2 linked regions of the Mus musculus genome follow. The protein of the gene in region 1 interacts with the protein of each later gene in a biochemical or structural test. Links are inferred from orthologs where the notes say so. Each region holds a gene or a part of one and is shown in the gene's direction. Other genes may lie near its edges.

Evidence for each region.
Region 2: the proteins of Fyb (region 1) and Skap1 form a complex in vitro, tested with the Homo sapiens proteins (2 studies listed by BioGRID and IntAct, with this or other methods). The link is inferred for Mus musculus from reciprocal best matches to the Homo sapiens genes FYB1 and SKAP1.

The regions. Positions count from the first base shown.
Region 1 is NC_000081.6:6,576,426-6,586,426, forward strand, and holds the start of Fyb (FYN-binding protein 1), read left to right. Parts: upstream 1-3,421; 5' UTR 3,422-3,495; coding exon of another isoform or gene 3,496-3,522; coding exon 3,523-4,621; intron 4,622-4,627; exon of another isoform or gene 4,628-4,728; intron 4,729-10,001. UniProt on the Homo sapiens protein: Acts as an adapter protein of the FYN and LCP2 signaling cascades in T-cells. May play a role in linking T-cell signaling to remodeling of the actin cytoskeleton. Modulates the expression of IL2. Involved in platelet activation.
Region 2 is NC_000077.6:96,461,272-96,471,184, forward strand, and holds the start of Skap1 (src kinase-associated phosphoprotein 1), read left to right. Parts: upstream 1-3,319; 5' UTR 3,320-3,433; coding exon 3,434-3,479; intron 3,480-9,913. UniProt on the Homo sapiens protein: Positively regulates T-cell receptor signaling by enhancing the MAP kinase pathway. Required for optimal conjugation between T-cells and antigen-presenting cells by promoting the clustering of integrin ITGAL on the surface of T-cells.

The DNA.
Region 1 (10,001 bases):
ATAGCCTTTTATCCCCTCAAATATTTATCAATGATGTGATACAGAAGAGGGTAGAACTCAGCTCCGTAGATGCATATCTAGGGGCATGGGAATGCTAGAGAGCACACTATTTAAAAGTACAGTACACTACTGTAGAAAGAGTTGTACCCTCAAATCACGAGCCAAAATAAGTTCTTCACCCTCAAGTCACCCCTTGTCAAGTATTTGGTCATAGTAAAATAGAGGCATGTATCAACTAAAAATAATCAAAAAAAAATCCCTTCACATGACTTACAAAGAGAAATTTGGGTAACTTGGTATGAAATGTTGATTTACCTAAAACATAAGGCTCTGAGGTCTTCCAGACCATGAAATGCCTCTTGGAATAAACAGGCCGGAACGTAGCTCCCTGGGAGAGCTCCCGACTCCAAGCTCTCCATCTGATACCCAGCACTTGAGCAGGTAGGACAGAGCTCAGCTCACCTTTACAGGGCTAAGCGCTTAAATGCCAAGAGAAGCGGGACATCCTCGGGATCCCAGCACTCTTGGCAGGGTGGGATAAGCACTGTGAGTTCAAAGCCAGGCTGGTATACGCTGCCAGTTCCAGGCAGCCAGGGAGATATAGTGACATTTGGGGTAGTGGGGATAAGGAAGGTCCTGAAATAATAAACACCTCTCTATGCAAAGAGAGAACGCAGAGCTGACATGGGGAATATTTAACAACCCAAGCTTTACAGGAATCCTACAACCCACAAGGTTGCCAGAAGAAAGCAAAGTCCAGAAGCACGGGCTTCCAGGTTGTTTGAGTTTTGGTTTGATTTGATTTTGGGCTTTGGGGGTGGGGGGCTCCCAATTTTTAAGTGGAAACAGAAGGTGGAAAGGTAGATCTGTGTGCAAGGTATTTGTGTGTGTGTATATGCACACATGTGTGTGTGTATCTATGTGTATCTATGTGTATGCATGTGTGTGTGTGTGTGTGTGTGTGTGTGTTCCTCACAAAGGAACTTGTTGCTCCTTCCTTCCCAGTGAAAACTCTCAAGAGTACGGGTGAATCAAACTTAAGCATCATTATCTATGTGTCATTTGCGAGTGTGTTTGTTCACAGGGACAGTAAGTAATTTCAAGTTTTTGATCTGTCTGGAAAAGACAATGATATATTATGAATGAATTAGAAATCATTACTATGGCAGAAAAAAATCACTGCATATGTGTGACATTCGACCCTTGATCTTTTTGTTTGCTATTGTGTGTCTGAAGCTGAGGACCAAAGCCAAGGCCTTGTGCTTGCTAAGCAAGTGCTTTAGCTAAACACCTAACTACTTGTATTGACCTGTTTATTAGTCTTTATCAAAACAAACAAAACTCCAGTGAGAAATGGAATTCCAGCTCTGATCTCAGAGATGAAGGAAGCAGACTGGGAAAAGTCGATCACTTGCTAGATGCTATGCTACACGGCAAAGTCAAGGCTTGAGCCTCAGTCAATAACTCCAAGGCCCGTGCCTTTAGCTCCGACACTTGCAGGCTCTCCTGGATCTGGATTAGCAGCCAAGACTAAAGCTTCCATCCTTAATGTACAACTTCTATATTTTTGGAACTAAATGTGGCACAGTGCTTGACCGTGGCCAGAGACATTTCAAGGTTTTCCCCCTGGGATGTGCTAGACTTGAAGCTGCCACAGCGGGGAATGAATGACCTTGTTCCCCAGCAGTGCAATGAGGAGGGAGAGCAGACGATCACTAAGTGTCTTCTTTATACAAAAACAGGAAGCCCTCGGATGTGCCAATGTCCTCTACTGCTTTATACACGTGCCTGCCTAAGAGCAGCGCCTAGACGTTGTTTGCAGTGAGAAGATAAGAAAACGCATTAATATCCCCTGCTACCTGGCTCCCGAGCTGACATTCTTAATCACTTTGCTATTTCACCTTGTTTTATAAACCTAAAAGAAGCTATACATAAAGAATATGAACAATACTAGTAGAGGGGAAGGGATAATCAGAAATTCTTTCTCAGAAACAAACTTCCTTCTAAACAGAAAGAAAACTTTGGGGGGGGGGGTGTATGCGTGTACTCATGTGTGTGTGTGCACACGCTTACGTGCACGTGTGTGTGTGCGTGTGTGTGTGTGTGTGTGTGTGTGTGTGTGTGTGTACACTAAGGAGCAAACCCAGGACCTTACCCATGCTGAGCTCCTGCTCCATCACCCAGCTATATCTTCTGTCTACCATTTCATATTTCTCATCAAGCTTTAGAGCCCTGGAAGTTTTTCCTGTTTTTTTATCCTTTTGGGGGGGGGGAGTGTGGGGGGCGGGCATGATCTCACATAGCCTAGGCTTGTCTCAAACCTGCTGTGTAGCCAAGAATGACCTTAACCTTCATAAACTTCTGATCTTCCTGTCTCTACCTCCTGCATTACAGAGTACGCCACCAACCTGATTTATTGAATGCTGAGCACATGAGACAGGGTTTAGTGATGTTAGATGCTAAGTAGGTTTTCTCTCTCTCTCTCTCTCTCTCTCTCTCTCTCTCTCTCTCTCTCTCTCTCTCTCTCTCCCTCTCTCTCTCTCTGTCTCTCAGCTGAGCCTCATCTCCAGCTCAAACTCCTTGTTTTTGAAAGAAAGGGTAAAGACACCATTAATTCTCCCAGGTTAAACGGGACTATATTAACAACAACAAAAAAAAAAAAAAGGGTGACTATCTGATACCTTTACTGCATAATTTCCTAATTCTTATGAGGAAGGCAGGTGAGGCAGGACCTCTCAGAGGACTGGTAAAAGTCATTATTGAAGAGAAAGATCTGGAAACGAGGCAATTCCTTCTGCTGGCCTGTTGTTCAGCCCATGCTGTCCCGTGGGTTTAGCTCATGTCCCGTTAGTCTGCATACAGCCACACAACAGCACTCTGGATTTGCAAATAATAAGGAAACCTTCTTTCGTTTTAGAAGGGCTGGGCTGTTCTGTAACACCTCCCCGACAGCAAACGCACTTTAAACGCAACAGGAACAGGGAAGCACGGGCCAGCACACTGATGCTAAGCATTGCTTTGCTGGGTTAAAAAAAAAAGCATGTAGCCTGAGTTTACAGTGCCTACTTTCGTTTTGAAGTCCAGTTTCCACATGAGTCTCAGTTGTAAAAAGTGGGAAAATCCATTTGGTAGCCACCGCTGTATGTTTTTCAGTGAAGCAAAAAATGTAAACAAATACAGAATCAGATATCTCCAACAAGATAGCGAGGCAGACCAGGAAAGAGAAGAGAAACGTTTTTTAAGATAAATGATTGTGTCCCTGTACGACCAACAACAGAAGTTTAAACACAGCCCTAGCCTTTCCTTCGCGAGAAACATTCACAACTTGTTTTGCCATAGAGGAACTTAAATGTTACAATATCTGGTCAACCAATCAGCAGCTTGCCGGCACCCCAGCACTCTTGCCTCAGATCAGGAAACCCTTGAAGGTACAGTATTTTAAATTGCAAGTGAGATTTCTGACTCTCAGCTGGTTTTTGTTCCCTGTGCTTGTAGGATGGAAAAACAGATGTAAAATCCCTCATGGCGAAGTTCAACACGGGGAGTAACCCGACAGAGGAGGCCGCCACCAGCAGCAGGCCCTTCAAAGTTGCAGGACAAAGCTCGCCTTCTGGAATACAATCAAGAAAGAATTTATTTGACAACCAAGGAAATGCCAGCCCGCCCGCAGGACCCAGCAGCATGCCTAAATTTGGGACCACAAAACCACCCTTGGCAGCGAAACCTACCTACGAGGAGAAGCCTGAGAAGGAACCTAAACCCCCGTTTTTAAAACCTACTGGAGGGAGCCCAAGATTTGGAACACAGCCAAACTCAGTTTCTAGAGACCCTGAGGTCAAAGTGGGGTTCCTGAAACCTGTAAGCCCCAAACCCACCAGCTTGACCAAAGAAGATTCCAAACCTGTGGTTTTACGGCCACCTGGGAATAAACTTCACAATTTGAACCAAGAGTCTGACTTAAAGACGCCAGGACCGAAGCCAGGGCCCGCTCCCCCAGTCCCAGAAAACGAACTGAAGCCAGGATTCTCAAAGGTAGCTGGAGCTAAGAGCAAGTTCATGCCAGCGGCACAAGATACTGACTCCAAACCCCGATTTCCCAGACACACCTTTGGCCAGAAGCCATCCCTAAGCACAGAGGACTCCCAGGAAGAGAACACTTCTAAGAACGTGCCTGTCCAGAAAGGATCCCCAGTGCAGTTGGGCGCCAAGTCCAAGGGCGCCCCTTTCAAACCACCTAAGGAAGACCCAGAGGATAAAGACCATGGAGCACCAAGTTCACCCTTTCCTGGAGTGGTTCTGAAACCTGCTGCGAGCAGAGGGAGCCCGGGTCTCTCCAAAAACTTTGAAGAAAAAAAAGAAGATAGGAAAACAGACCTTGCAAAGAACATCTTTCTGAACAAACTGAATCAAGAAGAGCCGGCCAGATTCCCTAAGGCCCCTTCCAAGCTGACAGCGGGGACACCGTGGGGCCAAAGTCAGGAGAAAGAAGGAGACAAGAATTCTGCAACCCCGAAGCAGAAGGCCCTGCCACCCCTGTCCGTCTTGGGCCCGCCTCCACCCAAGCCCAACAGACCACCCAACGTTGACCTGACCAGATTCCGAAAGGCTGACTCTGCAAACAGTGAGTTGTTTCTCATTGCTGGTAGCTGTGGTTTGCTCACACAACTGAGTGTTTCAGCTCCTGGGGGAAACTTTAGAGCAAGGAATGATTGCATAACTGATGCTCATGTGAGTATAGGGTCAATTTTCTTTTGGCATTTTTTTTTCCGTTGTGTAGGAGGTCTGAGAGAGTAGCAAATCCAAGTTCTGGTTGAGCATTCTGTAAGAAAGGACCTTGGGGTGGGGAGCACTGACATTTTAGGGAGACAATAGGGAAGAAATATACCTATTTAACGGATAGTTGGTTTTGCTTAAGGATAACCATTGCATTTATTCCCTTGGTTGTATTTCATTTCTGTAACTTGAAGAAGTTATGCTGCCCGTTGACAGAGAGAAGAGAGTAGTCTAAGTCAGTACTCTAGAAAGAATCAAATTTGATAGCCAAAGGATGTGTGCATTCTCTGGAGGCATGTTTGATTGTCACAATGGATGAAGCTAATGATATTTTGTAAATAGAGCCACTTACTCCTGTCCTTCACAGAACTATCCAGGCCAAAATGTCAATGTTGTGAAGTTGAAACTCCTCTTCTAAGTCACTTCAAATATCTACACTGTTCATCATGTCCCCTAAGCCCAAGATTCAAATAGGACAGTGGCAGGGATTTTAGGAGACCATGCTTTGTATTCTAGCTGTTTTTGGTTTTTTTGTTTTGTTTTGTTTTGTTTTGTTGGTTTCTTGATTGTTTGTTTGTTTACTTTCCCAAAACAGAAACATCTGTACTATTCCAGTTTACAAAGGAATACACAGTTAGAAAACAAAGGCAGACAATGGGTGCCTTGTTGCCCTTCAAGAAAACCAGCCCCCGGTTTTCTTCCCAAGATGTCATTGCAATGTTTTGGCATGTGGTAGAATTTGATACTGAAAGTCTCGGTAAAGACTTGACACCCTGTGTCTTGATGAGAAAAGCTCTCCCATATTTGCGGTGATTAATATCCTAGCAAATGTTACCCAAGTGCTGTCCATTGTGAGATGGAAAGAGAATGATACTTACGAGAGACGATACCACTGTAAGTCGGATGCATCTCCAAAGTGTCATCAAGAGCAGTGGTTCTCAACCTTCCTAATGCTGCAGCCTTTGAAATCAGTTCTTCACTTTCTCGTGACCCCACTCCCAACCTTAAAACTATTTTCATTGCTACTCCATAACTGTACTTTTACTACCATTAGGAATTGTAGTGTAAATATCTGTGTTTTCTGAGGGTCTTTGGTGAGCCCTTGGAAGGTCAATCCACAAGTTGAGAGCCACTGGTCTGAATCTATGCGTGATGGTACAGGCCTGTGATTCAGGACTTGAGAGTTGAAGGCAAGAGGATCAGAAGCTCAAAGTCTTGGAACCGAGTTAGAAGTCATCCTGGACTACATGAGACTCTCCCTTAAAAAGAAACAAACAAAAACGAGTCTGATTTAAGCAGGCGTAGGCATAATCATTGTCTCTGGAAGATCTTCCCATAGGCTCTCTCTGCCTAGTACAAAGGTGAGCAAGAAAATAAGGTACAGTCTAGGCAGCGCAGGGCATTGTCACCCTTAGACTGTGCTACCTGGTTCTGACTGAGGCCAAGAAGCCATCCAATTCTACTAGAAGTGGAGAAAGATCACAGAGCCAGGCTCCCATAGCGTGTTATTCCCAACACTGGTCTCTTCAAGGGCAGTTTGTCCACAGAAAGTGCTTCTCCTCTTGAGTTACTAAAATGTGCCCAGTTTGATGTGTTTCTCTAACTCAGAATGACAGCTTGCAGGGAAACTCTAGACATCTTCTATGGCCACCAAGGTTTTCTGAGTTCACAGTCCTGTCCCCCCCCCCCCCAGCTCTGACGAATACCCTTGATAACCATGCCTGGCTAGATGTGAAGTTTCACACAGAAGAGCTTTGCAATAAGTGACTTGTAGCCTGGTGCAATTCAGGGCACTGGGCATTCACTTGCAATAAGGTGGGAAAGGAAAGAGACTGTGTGCTTTGGAAAAACTGTTTATCAATGGTGGTTCCTTTTTCAATCTTCTAAGATGTAAGGATACTGATTGGAGTCAAAGACTTTGCAGTGAAGGTAGTGACTTACTCTAAGCAGGGTACTTTTATTGTTGTTCAAGGTAATTACAACAGTGTCCAAATTAACAAAATTCTACGTAATGGTCCAGTTGGCTTTCAAAACTTCAATATCTTTCCCTCCTTCATGACCCCTTTTCCGTTTCTATATTCAGATAAATCTTTATCATTTATAGAGGACTTTTGATATAATACTATACAACCCTACTTTATTTATTCTTTCTAAGCGATGAAATGGAATTCTATTTCAGCACAATTAGGAAATTTGCCAAAGTGTAGCCTTAACTAAGCAGGGTCAGGTCTCTGTGATTGCAGTCTGTGTCCTCATCCCTGTCCTAACTCGATGCTGGCTGCCTTTCAGGAAACATAAGATCCCTTGAAATGATGAAAAAGTGTAAATGGTACCCACAGACCCCACATTCCTGTGTCTCCCTCTGTCTTTCGGTTAAAATCTGTCCTTTAAAGATTTGTTCTCAATGCCCCTGCAGGCTCCATGAGAGCAGAGAGCAGTTGGCTTCCCATTCTTCTCTCATTTCTGGAATAGAAAAAAAAAAATGTGAATTTTCATCACTTTCCGAGGTCTATCATTCTGCAGAGGCATGTTAGTAAGAAGTTAGTTAGTTGTTCTCTGCCCTTTCAGAATTAAATTGTAATATGCCCCCCACAGTTCACTAATTATTTTCACAGATTGGCTGCATATCCAATTACATGGAGCTTTGACACAAAATCATTTTGCACAAAGCATCCACCCCAAAAATATCTTCTCAGCATCTTACCTGGAAACTGTAAGCATGACTATATCACATGGCTTTCTGAATGTGGAGCTAATAAGAGTTTTGGACTCCCCAGTAATCCCAAGCCTTCACTGCCACAAAAAGCTTAAGCTATTGATCATGATCACTGAAACATCAGCAGGTTCTCTAAACTCTCTTTGCTTTTGACTCCATTAGAAGGCTTCTTCCCAGGTGTTCTGGTACTAGTCACCACAATATCTGGGCTCTTGAGCACCGGCCAGACCCAGCTGTCGGTTTCATGTGTAGGAGGTAGTGAAAGCCTAGCAGAACACATTCGATTCAGCCCTCTTTCTTGCTTTATTCTATTGCTAACTTTGGAAATAATCAGTATGGTGCCTTAACAGCTCCAGGAATGAATCCAGGGCCAGCATTCACCAGAGCCCATTAGGATTGCATGTCCCTTCTTGTATTGTGCTTTTGCTTCTTCAACTAGTACAGCTGACAGAAACCTTGACCCCAGGAAGAGTTTAGCAGAGGATGGAGAGATAGTTGAGGGGTTAAGAATACTTACTGTTCTTGCAGGGGACCTGGGATTAGTCCCAACACTCACTTGGCAGCTCACAACCATCTGTCACTCCAGTTCCAGGGAACCCTACCCCCTCTTCTGCTTTCCATGGGCACCAGGCATGCATGTGATACATAGACATAGATGCAGCCCAAACACTCATACACATAAAATAAGATAAATAAGCCTCTAAAGAGAAACTTAAAAAAAATCTTGGTTTGAGATTGGAGCAGAGGTCACCTGGAGCTCCTGGCTTAGTACCCTAAGGCAGAAAAGCAGAGGATCTTGGGTTATGTTAAGCAGGTAACCTGTTTCTAGGAGACAGTGAGACTTTCCTGCACGGTTCCCAGAGTTATCACTGCCTCCTTCAGGTCCACCATCATCTTTTGACATGTGCTTTTGTGATATGACCTCATTGGGTTTGTATGTACTGAAAAAATGCTTTATCTCAGTGTACCGCAGCCTCTCCTACCCTGTTGCTGATAGGAACAGGTCATGATAGGGACAGGGATTCAAGGCTCAGAAGCGACAAAAAGATCCGAGGGTACAGCAGAGTGTTTTCATGGTTGGCAATCCCACTGTACACTTGGAATTTAAGAATGCAGCCTATCTAGAGTTGATCCAAGGATGTCTCGTTGGAATATATTGGGACACTGAATCTGCAGGCAAGGCTCTTCAGCATACAGATGAATCAGAGCTTATGCATCTGTGTGCTTCAGCCTGACCAGGGAAATGAGGCCTTCTCCAAATTATGTGAGTCTTCTCTCTCTCTCTCTCTCTCTCTCTCTCTCTCTCTCTCTCTCTCCACTTTGAGCCTAGACCCCTGTCTTAACTTCAGTTCTCTCACCCTTCTTGAGCCTGAGAAATCTGTTTTTCAAAAATCTATGGTCCTTCTTTCTATCACAGGTTGCAACCCTGCGATAGAGGAAACTGTTAAGGTTAACCAATTAGCCATCTTACCCAGGTTTAACCCTTTCACATAAATACCTCAGAATGACTCCCTTCAATGTACAAGTCTTTCCTCACTGAGTTCTAGACATGTATCTCCCGCCCAAGATAACCTTGGTCCTTGGCATAAAGAGTTCTCTTGATGAAACCATCCCAGAAAGGTGTATATCCCAGTAGCACCCCTTGGATTTTGTAAAAATCCAACCTCTTACCACATCAACTAGCATTTACACAGCCTCTGTTGTAAATTTACTGCGGAAAATTCAGAGGTTCTCCTGTGTTTATTCCTTTGAAAATTATTTGTTTTCTATCAGAATTCTTGGAGAAACCTTTGTCTCAGAAGTCTAGAAATTTAGCCAGGCTATTCCTGACACCACACCAGCTATTTCCCGAGAGATGCTGCACCTCTGTTGTTCCTGGGCTCATCCGAAGAATCTTATCCCTACACACAGGGATCACCCCATGCCTTTTGATCTGACAGATGTCTGACGTCATCATCCAGGCTGATAAGTCTGACATCCCCTCTAAATATGACTTCAGATGTAAGCATGGCTTTAAATGCCTTTGTCCGCAGTGTTTGTTAACTGTGCAGGATTTGAGGGCAGCCCTTACTGGGGACCCAGAGTCTGCTGTTCTCTGAGCTCCTGTTCAGTGCTTCTTAGCCACCGATCCATTTTATGATATTTGGGGCCTCCCTATCAAGGATTTCTCTTGACCTTACCCAGGCTATTCTCTTACCCCTCTGCCTACTTCTGAAGTAGAATGTCCCAGTGAGAATTCACAGGGTTTTTTCTAGAATCACTGTCTTCCCCTCCCAAAATGCTTCTGGGTCTAGGAAACAGGTTAGGAGCTTTGCTTGTCACCTATGGCATGAGGACCATCATTTCTTTCCTTACTCAACAACTTCTTAAAGTTTATGCATGGCATTATTTTTCCTTCCTTCTAAGGTGGCTAACCAGTTATTTCGGATGTCCGTCTTACTTTGTTTTTAATACTTTTATTTGAGAATTAGAGGAGAGCCATCCTGTAATCTAGCTAACTAGTACCAGCTAA
Region 2 (9,913 bases), on another chromosome or scaffold:
GAAGGGTTCGCTAATTCGATTTAACAAAACTCCTGGTAGGTGTTGGCAGCTCTGTGCTCTAAGACCACAGATGAGACGGATGTGATGTGCCATATTGGCATCTTTGCCTTTCCTCTGCCTTCAAGGTGGCACGATTGGTGTTGGTTTCTGGGGCCTTGAAAAGTGTATAGTGAGGCCGGGTTTTGGCACCGACTTTGCGTATCATCTCTCCTTCCATATCCCTTAATGAAGTGTGCAACTCTTGTCCTCATTAAGACCCAGCATTGTCAATAAAAGAGTCAATAAACCTGGTTGATGGGGCTGGGATGGAAAGGCTGAGATGCGGCTGCAGCACATCCACGGGGCAGACGTCAGCTCTGCCATGTGTCGTGACCCAGTGTTCGGGGATCAATAACAGGCTGAGGATAAAGCCTCAGGACCTGCCCCCTGCAGTCTCCTCCCCAGACCCACCAGGCCCAGTGTGGGGCAGTGCCAGCCAGCTCCGGCTTTGCTTGCAGTTGTTCCCGACCCCTTGATGTCTAGATGCCAGATGTTCTTGTTTCTTCCTGATTGAGCCCTTTGGACACCCTCTGGATGCATACTTAGCGCCCACCTGGCAAGAGAACATGCAGACAGCATCTCCAAGTAGCCCAGAGGCCAACATGGGTTCCATTCTCTGCATCCTATGTCTGCTGACAGTATGTGATGAGTCCCAGAGGACAGGGCATGCGTATTCTGCATGCTGTGTGGCTGGACTCCATTTCTGGCTGTCCTGCCTCTCTCTAGATACCCTTATCTTATCTAATTATACAAGGAATTTTAGATTAATTTCGTGGCCTCTGCTCCCTAGGACCCCTTATCTGTGGGGGCCTTGTATTTTCACCTTGTCATTCTTTTGTTGTTTGCCTTTAAGGGGTGATGGCCAGAAGGGGATGGCATTGGAATTGGGGTGGGGGAGGGGAGAAGGGGGAAGGCAGACAGATCTGGACCGCTGCCTGTGTGTGGAGACAGCTGGCTGCTTTCTTCCATGTCAGCCACATGGTACCTAGCCACACAGAACAGGACCTGGGCAGGGACTCGCCTGCTGCCAACCTCTCCAGATCTCTTTGATATTTCCGACAGAGCAGTAAAGGACTCTTGACTATCTCGGGTGTTTTTTTTTCTTTGCCTCTCTCCACCTCCTGCAAGACTCCTTCATGTCGTTTCCATGGCTACCCCCAATCAGATTTGGCTTCCTGCGAAATTGGATTTCAAAGGAGGACAGGGCTTCAAAGGAATTTGTCCATTTAACAGAATGTCATTAGGAGTGAGGCTGCCTGCTGAACCAGGGCCCTCAGATGATTAAGGAGGGGCAGCGCTCATGTGTGGAGGCAGGCTTCTGTCTGCAATGAGGAGCCTTGATGCAACATGACAATAGCGTATTGGAAACTGCCAGTCACCAGCACACACCACCTGACTTACACCTCCCTCTACCTCCATCGCTCCCAAACCCAGTCATCCACAGGGGAAGAGATGCAAGGAGAATATCTACCTTGTGCGGTTTTGCTTCTCCCTAGGTGGCAGGAAGCCTGGGGTTCTGTCCTTTGTCAGACAACTCCTGAGCACCTACCCTATGTGACCATGCTGACCAATGTCCTTAAATAAGGGGACGGGGCACTCTGGGTTCTCTTCAGATCCTAGAAACCTGCCTTTTACTAAAGAAAGAGGGAAGGGCTGTCCTTCTTTTCCCATTGCTGGAAGAAAAATGGAGGAAGTTTGTGCACTAGAGAGGGAAGCCTACCGCCCCCCTTTTGAAGAACAGTTTTATGTTTACAAAAAGAAGCATGTGTGTGAGCCACATAGCCTCCATGTTTAAACATGCACGCACCCCAAGTGATTTTAGAGCAACTTCAGTTTTATCTGGGAGACAGCAAGGTAGGAGGCAGCCTACACCCCCTCTGGAGCCTGGAAGAGGCAGCCCAAGCCTGTCACTATAGCTTCACCCAGTAAGAAGCAACACCATGGATTTGGGTTCTCTGGTGACCCCGACCGGGTTCTATCCCTTCAGTTCAATTTATTGCAACTTATAGGTGGGTTGTGAGGCCCTGAAACCAAGACCACTCCTTCTCAGGCGTCAGGACATGCTAAAGGCCACCAAAGTCCTTAAAAGTGAGGGTTCCTAAACTTGAGACTGCATCTTCCTGGGGTGTGTGCACACACTTATTCCAGGAGACATATACACCTGCCCTGTGCCCTTCTGAACGGTTTCTTGTCTTTGCTCTGCCTTCTACATTGAGATCAATATTATCTCCACCCCCAGGCAGATTAACAAATCGCTTACCTTCCTCCCTTCATGTGTTCCAGGACCACTCCCAATCCTTCTTACCTATTATGGGGATAGAATAGAATGAGAGAGGGAGAGAGGGAGAGAGGGAGAGAGAGAGAGAGAGAGATATGCAGGGGTCACATAATTACAGATAATTTTCTACCTGCAAAGTCTCCCCACCCTTGTAAAACCCCGGAGTCTGGTATTTAATACCAACAGGCATGCGCCAGTCCTCCTCTTGCTCTTTCGTATACCGTCCATGCTGCTCTACTTTCTTCAAGGCCTGTTGTACTATAAAATACCAATCAAATAAACAACCTTTGAGTACTTGTTCACTCACAAGCGGTCCACAAAAATAACAAAGGGTTCCACGTACCACTGCCCAAGTTCGTGCTGTAGCAACATCTTTGGTACCTACTACCACCCAAACTTGATCACTGACTGGCTGTACTTTGAGCGGGGAAGGGCACAGCCCTGTGATCTCGTTGATCACTTTCTTCCTTCCTCTGTTCCGAGAAAGAGCTGTTTCCCACCTTCTCTCAGCCTTTCACCTCCAGAGGGAAGGACATTCCCTCCGTGTCTCTCCATGGGTATTGCCTCTGATGCTGAGTCTTTCAAATGTTGGCGATCGGCATTGTCGCTGGGACTCCAGATTTTAATTTCTAACCAGCAGGGCTTTCCCCGACAGTGCGCTGGATCAGAACTGAGGCACTATATCTTTGGCAAGGACCAAGCTCTTTCTTGGATTCTGCCTCTGCACCCCAGTCCAGGAACAGCCATGGCCTTTTAAACCTACAGCCCCAAGGTCAAACTGCTCAGTGTTTAGATGTTTCCGCCAAAACCTAGCCTCCAAGGCTCTTGGGAATCTAGGCAATTTTTTGGTGAGGGGCTCAAAGGGCCACGCCATTGACTTTGCGTGCCACCTCAGTGGCACCAGTGCACCTGCGCCCGGGGTCCCGGGCTCCCGCCGCCGGCTGCGCGCGCCGCTTCCTGAGCGCGCGACCGGCGGCCCCGCCCAGCGCCTCCCCCCCCCCCCCAGGCGACAGCCGAGGTACAGGTGCCTGGGGTGCAGCTCGCTGCGCCCGCCGTCCGAGCAGGCACACGTCCCTTATCCCGCCTTCTGCTGCGGCCGCCCACTCGCTTCGCCAAATGCAGGCTGTCGCCCTCCCGGAGGAGATCTGTTGGCTCCTGGAAGGTAACTAACTCCTGGTTCAGTGCCAGACCTCTGTCCTGACCCATCCCGTCCGGGAGGGCCTCTCAGTGCTGGGCTGAAGGCAAGAAAGGAGACACTAGGGTACTAGTTCTTTAGCCTGGTCACTTACCTACTATAAGTTCCAGGCTTCCAGAGTCCTTAATCCCCCAATTGTCCCCAAAGCCCTAGCCTCTCTCTCATCCTCAAGGTCCCCACCTCTCCCTTGAGTTACATATTTTCTGTTCCTTCTAGGCATCTGTATCACTTCCAGATGCATCAACACTTCCAGGTCTCTAAGGTCTTACGGGTCAGTTCATGGCCTCCCTTGACACCTTGCTTGGTCTTGAACCTGTCACCCCGGGAAATCCCTGAGGTGTGCAGTGATTAGGTCTCATCCTTCCCAGTCCTGACTCCTCACCTTGTGGAAGACCCACACCTTTCTGGGTAGACATCTCCTAGGCACACAGTAGGGCTCTGGAGATTTATGGTCTTTGGGCCAAGCCTGGTGGTTAGGGGACGTCTTATAAGTGTGAGAGTCATTTCCTAACCTGAAGACTTCTAGGGGTGTCATAAACCTCAGAGTATGGTGTCCTTCCCTTCCCTAAGTGTCCTGTTGTGATGGTTTCACCTTTAAAACTGTCCTTTACAGTTAAGGTCACACTTTCCGACACTCAACATACACTCCGAAGAGACTTCCCTGATGGACGGTATCTTGTGCTTGGCTCCCATGGTGAAAATCAGTTTTACTCATTTTCCTATGACTGCCCTTCCCTTCCTGGGAGGACAGAAACCTGGAATCTGCAGTTGCATAAGGGTCTCAAGAGGAAACCGCTCAGAATTAAGCCTTTCGGCATCCAGGCGACACATCTGACACATCGTTAACAGATGGCCTGCTTTGGGCAGGTCATGATTTTGGCAAGCTGCATTCTTTCCAGTTTCTCTCAATTTAATTGGTTTTATATCTCCATTACCTTGTTATCTTGGGTATAAATGCCTCCTAATCAAGGATTTGGCCAGTGCTTTTGGATTCTGTCTGTAGCCCTGTTTCTATTCTGGATAGCGTCTCTGTAAGAGTTGGCGGCTATGTGTTTCTTTTGAGGCGATGTTTCAAAAATCTATTTTAGAAAAAGGTTTTTATCTATTTTTGGAGTGTATTGTGTGGGTGTGCATGTGCCACAGCCTGTTTGTGGAGTTCGGGTGGCAACTGTTGGGAGTTGGCATTCATCTTGCATCTTCTGGTGATGGGGATAGAACTCATGTCTTCAGGCTTGGTGGCAAGCACCTTTAGTCACCACCACCCTCTCTTGTACTTAGGGGATTGAATCTAGAACCTTACACAGGGTCATTAGACATTCCACTACTGAGCTATGTTCTCTAAATTATCTAAAAATCCACTTAGCTTGTAAACCAAGAAACTGTAGAAATAAAGTTATTTGGAAGATAGAAGAAATCACCAGGCATCTAACGAGATTTAGCCAGTGCTGGTTCAATATTAGGTACATAGAGGAAGTTGTACAATTGTCTTTGGTTTTTAGAGAAGGAATTGCAGCCACAAGTTGAATTCTACCCTTGTATTTAAAGACCGAGTGTCTCTTTTTATTGGTGTCAGTCATTTTATGAGAAGAAACCCACTTTACAAGCTTGCTAAATGTCACTTCAGTTTGGTGCACAGGCATCAATAGAAAAATTCCCTCTTATTTTCAGAGGCTAGCAACACAGTCCCCTCCTCCGACATTTTTGATGTGCAGTTCTTTATTGTTCAAAACTGACACTTTGGTAAACAACTCATTTTTGCACCTGCCGCCTTCCTTTAGCTCAGATCGTTTTCTTGTTAGCTGACTGTTTTTAATTGAAGTCTTCAGATCTCCTTCTAAAGCAGAACCTTTGTTTGCTGACAAGCAGAGCCGGGTATGAATGGAGATTAATTGCGTGTCACATACTTCTGTATCAAACTTGCTGTGTCTTAACAATCTCTGATAGTGCGCGGGTCTTTAGAAGATAGGGAGGAGTCTGAGGTTCCACTGTGAGGTGCTTCACTGGTTAACTGTTTCTTTAAAGCCATCCCTCCCTTTAAACGTGTAATTCTGCTCTTGATTCTGAAGTGGAGGGAAAAATATAAAGTGGGATATAACCAATGATTCTATTGAAAAGTGGTTAAAAATATGTTTTTGAAAGATTCATGTGATGATAATAACATATTGGCTATAGGTTTTTGTTTTTAATGGAATGCGGTCTCTATCGTAAAACAGTCAAATGATTCTCTGTGTTACAACTTGTGAATATTAGACATCTAAAATGGCTGTCAATTTGTTGTCTGGGTCTGGTTATACGCCTCCTCCCACCACACACTTCTTAAGGTTCACCGTTAGCAGTTAAGAAATCTGTAGGTCCTTGATCTCTATATAGTCACTCAGTGGGAGGGAGTCACAGGATATGAGCTGTGACTGTGGCTGCCACACAGCACGGGGGTGGAGTTTCCCCAGTGAGTTACTGCTTTCATAAACCAAGTCAGACGCATTTGCACAGTGATTTAATGCCGGCCATCACAGCCATAACTTAAACATTTATCTATTTGTAACAATAGGAGCATAAAATGACAGGGACATTTTTTTGATATAATGTGTTCGCTTTTAAAAAAATAAAATATGCAAGACACTGTGCAAGGTTTATACCGAGATTTTTGCATAATGAAGGTCTGGAATTAATTTTAAGTATAAAATTTTAAACATTTGAAGATGTCTCATTTGACGTGGAAGTCCCACTTCTAGGAATGTGATATAGAAATTAAATATATGTTTATATATTGCAGATGTCAATGAGGTGGGAAAAGTAGGTGATGGTCAATTGGATCATGGGACATCCATCTTAGTTTGCATCAAAAGAACTTGGAGATCTGTGTGTCTGTCTGACGTCTGTCTATCTTGGCTTGCAGTATGTCCATGGAGTGTTTTTAAGACTAAAAAGATGTAATAAACAACAGCACATATAATGATCCTTTTTCTATTTGAAACCAAAAAGCCAAAAAAAAAAAAAAAAGTTCCATATATTATATAGGTTTGTGTAAGCCTCAGGACAGTGTCCTGTCTCTTAGCAGTTTCTTTTTAAGGACAGAGAGACTCACAGGGGTTAATGATTTTTAATACATATATCTCCAGTTGGTTGAATTGTGACAAAAGCCATGTACTACTTCTTTAATCAAGAAAGAGTGGTTAGATAGGTTTAAAAAAAAAAAAAAAAGACAAACAGAAGCCCAGAAGTTAAAGGGCCAGTAACTTCAGGTGTGATTGTTTTTCCTGTTTAGCCATGGGAAGTTGTGTGGAAAGTGTACATTAAAACAAAACAAACAAACAAACAAAAAAAAAAACCCACCTTCTCTGTTGTTTTTCTGGCAAATGACAAAGCTCAGAGAAGCTTCTAGTATCCCAGGAAACAGCCTTTTCCATCGGCTCTACTGAGCTCCCACACAGAGACAGAAAGTGGCCCCGTATCAGTGAATAAGGCACGGTGTAGATAAGGAATGCAGGGCATCTTCCGCTTCATTGAAAGAACAGGAAATATTCAGGACTGTTTTTAAGTAGTCAGGCTTCAGATGTAGCAGTTATCTTTTGTTTTTGTTTTTGTTTTTGCTTTTGTTTAGTGATAACGATGCTGAAAACAAGAACAATAGGTTGGCAGCTTGTAATCTTTGTTGCACAGATATAAACATAGTCTCTTCTTCCTAGTCTTTCTAGTGCCACCCCACCCCCACCCCCACCCCATGTGTGTGTCTCTGCCTCTGTCTCTCACTCTTTTTAAGTAAGAACCAGAGAAGGAGGTGCAGCAGATAGATAGGAAACCTGCTGACTTCACTCTGATCGCTGATAGACCCAGCCGCCTACCCAGTGCCGCCATGGGGCTCAGAAGATGGACTGAAGCCCAAACATCACTGCCTGGCTCCCTAGCACTGGCCCTCATATCCTAATGGTTGCTTACTTTTAAACTTCAGCAGTCGCCCTTGGTGGTGATGCATACCTTTAACTGGAGAAGCAGAGGCAGGTAACTCTCTGTGAGTTCGAGGCCAGCCTGAATTCCAGGACAGGAGGGCTACACAGAGAATCTCAACAACAAACAACAACAAAAAAACCCTCAGCAGTCATTAGCCATTTCCTTCTAGATAGTTCTCCAGAGTGGTAGATCTAGATGAAAGGATAAAACTTCTCTCAGTCTCTCTAGATAGCAAAGGTTCTTTTAAATCGTCTAACTCGTAAACATCTTTGATCAATTCTTTAAAAACAGGAATTAGGAACTTTCCTCCATCTTGTCAACCAGCTACACTGGTCTTGGAATGAGTAACATTTAAATACTTCTAAACTCAGTATTGTTTGGGTGAATGTCTGCAGTTCAAAACTGTTTCTGACTGGGATATTCTTGGTTGCCTTGTGATTGCCTGTGTCTGATTTATTCGTTCATATGGAGCTGGGGACTGAACCCAAGGCCTCATGCATGCTAGTCGGAGATTTCTCTCTCTCTCTCTGAGCCAGATTCCAGTCTGCTTTGCACTCGATATTCTGCCATTTCTTACCCTCGTAGTGAAGCTGAGGCCCTTCGCTATTCTGTTGGTTGGATCTGTGTCGTTGACGTCTCTGGAACATTAGATAATTGAGTATTTTGGAGCTATGTGTAAAAGTAGGCATAAGGGGCATCTTTGGGATGGAGATATAGTTCACTGGTAAAGTGCTTAGCTGGCATTCCAGAGTCAGAGACCTTGGTTCAGTTCCCAGTACTCTCTCGGTGTGTGTGTGTGTGTGTGTGTGTGTGTGTGTGTATATGTGGTGTGTGTGTGTGTGTGTGTATATGTGGTGTGTGTGTGTGTGTGTGTGTGGTGTGTGTGTGTGTGTATGTGGTGTGTGTGTGTGTGTGTGTGTGTGTGTGTGTGTGTGTGTTGAGAGGCTTTTTTCTGTCTACCATGTGGATGGGTTCCAGCAATTGAACTTACATCCTAAGCCCCGGTTGCAAGCACCTTTACCCTTTGAGCCATCTTGACAGTCCAAAGCGGCTGTCTTGATAAACAAATACCTAAGCTCTGAGGCATGGTTTTGTGGTGTGTGTTTGGCTGCTCTGCCTCTTTTTGGCTAACTTTTGATATTGGTGGTCTTGCTGACAGGTGAGTTACTGCTCTCCTGAATCCCAAGTGGTAAAGTGTGAGCTTTAATGTTATTTTTTTTCTGACTAAAAACGTGATAACTTGATGCTCCAGGGATCAAGGATGCTGGGGGGGGGGGGTGAGATGGGGATGGGTGGGTAGGAGAGCACCCTCTTAGAAGGGAAAAAGGATCAGGTCTTCACTCTGGGAGGGGGGACTGGGAAGGGGGCAACATTTGGAATGTGAATAAATAAAATAATTTAATAAAAAATAAAGATCGGAAAAAGGTGATAATTTTCGTAATTGAAAGCAGAAAAGATAGAGTACACAGTTGCCCTTGTCAACAATTGTTACATTTCCATGGGTTTCATGGATTTCTTTTGAGATTGCTGGTGATATAACATTGTTTCTATAAGAAAATATCAAAGTGAGCATTAGGAAATATTTTATTGAGACAGTGTCTCACTGTGTAGCCCTGGCTGGCCTTGAACTCAGCATGTAGACCAGTCTGGCCTCCAGCTCACAGAGATCCACCTGCCTTTGTCTCTGCCTCCCAGGGGCTGGGATTAAAGGTGTGTGAACCTCACCTGGCTCAATAATCTCTCGATTGATTTAAAAATAACTCTAGGAATAAGACAGTAGCTCGGTTTCATTTCCTCTTAGGTCTTCAGCAATAGTTCTCTCTCTCTGTTTTTGTTTGTTGTTGTTTTTTGTTTTGTTTTGTTTTGTTTTTGTTTTCCAGAGACAGGATTTCTTTGTATAGCCCTATCTGTCCTGGAATTCTCTCTGTAGACTAGGCTGGCCTTGAACTCACAGAGATGCCCCAGCCTTTGCCTCTTGAGTGCTGAGATCAAAGGCATGGACAACCACCATGCATGGCACTAACTTTTATTTATTTTTAAACTAAAGTGACCGTGCTTATTTTCTGCTGTAGGCTTACCACTCAGAACAGTGTGTACAACTAATGCCTTAGAGGTAGAGGACACCCATCCAGGATGGGAGCCTATGAGAAAAGAGTGGATAGGAGAACTCAGGGGTTGTGGAAGAGAAGAAATCAAACCAAAGGCAGGAAGAGGCTTCCAGGGCCCCACCCCAGCCACCTAGCTGATGGTGCTGGACAGATGCAGTGACTTACATGTATAATGAGTGAGCACCCATGTAGCCTTCCCAACTCATCACGCTTAGCAAACCACTCCAGACAAATCAAAGCAGTGTCTACCAGCACACACTGGAAACACTAGAATTCAGGCTACGGGAATTCTGTACATTTAAGTAAAATCTCGTAACTGTCCCTTTAAGTCATACATTACTGGTC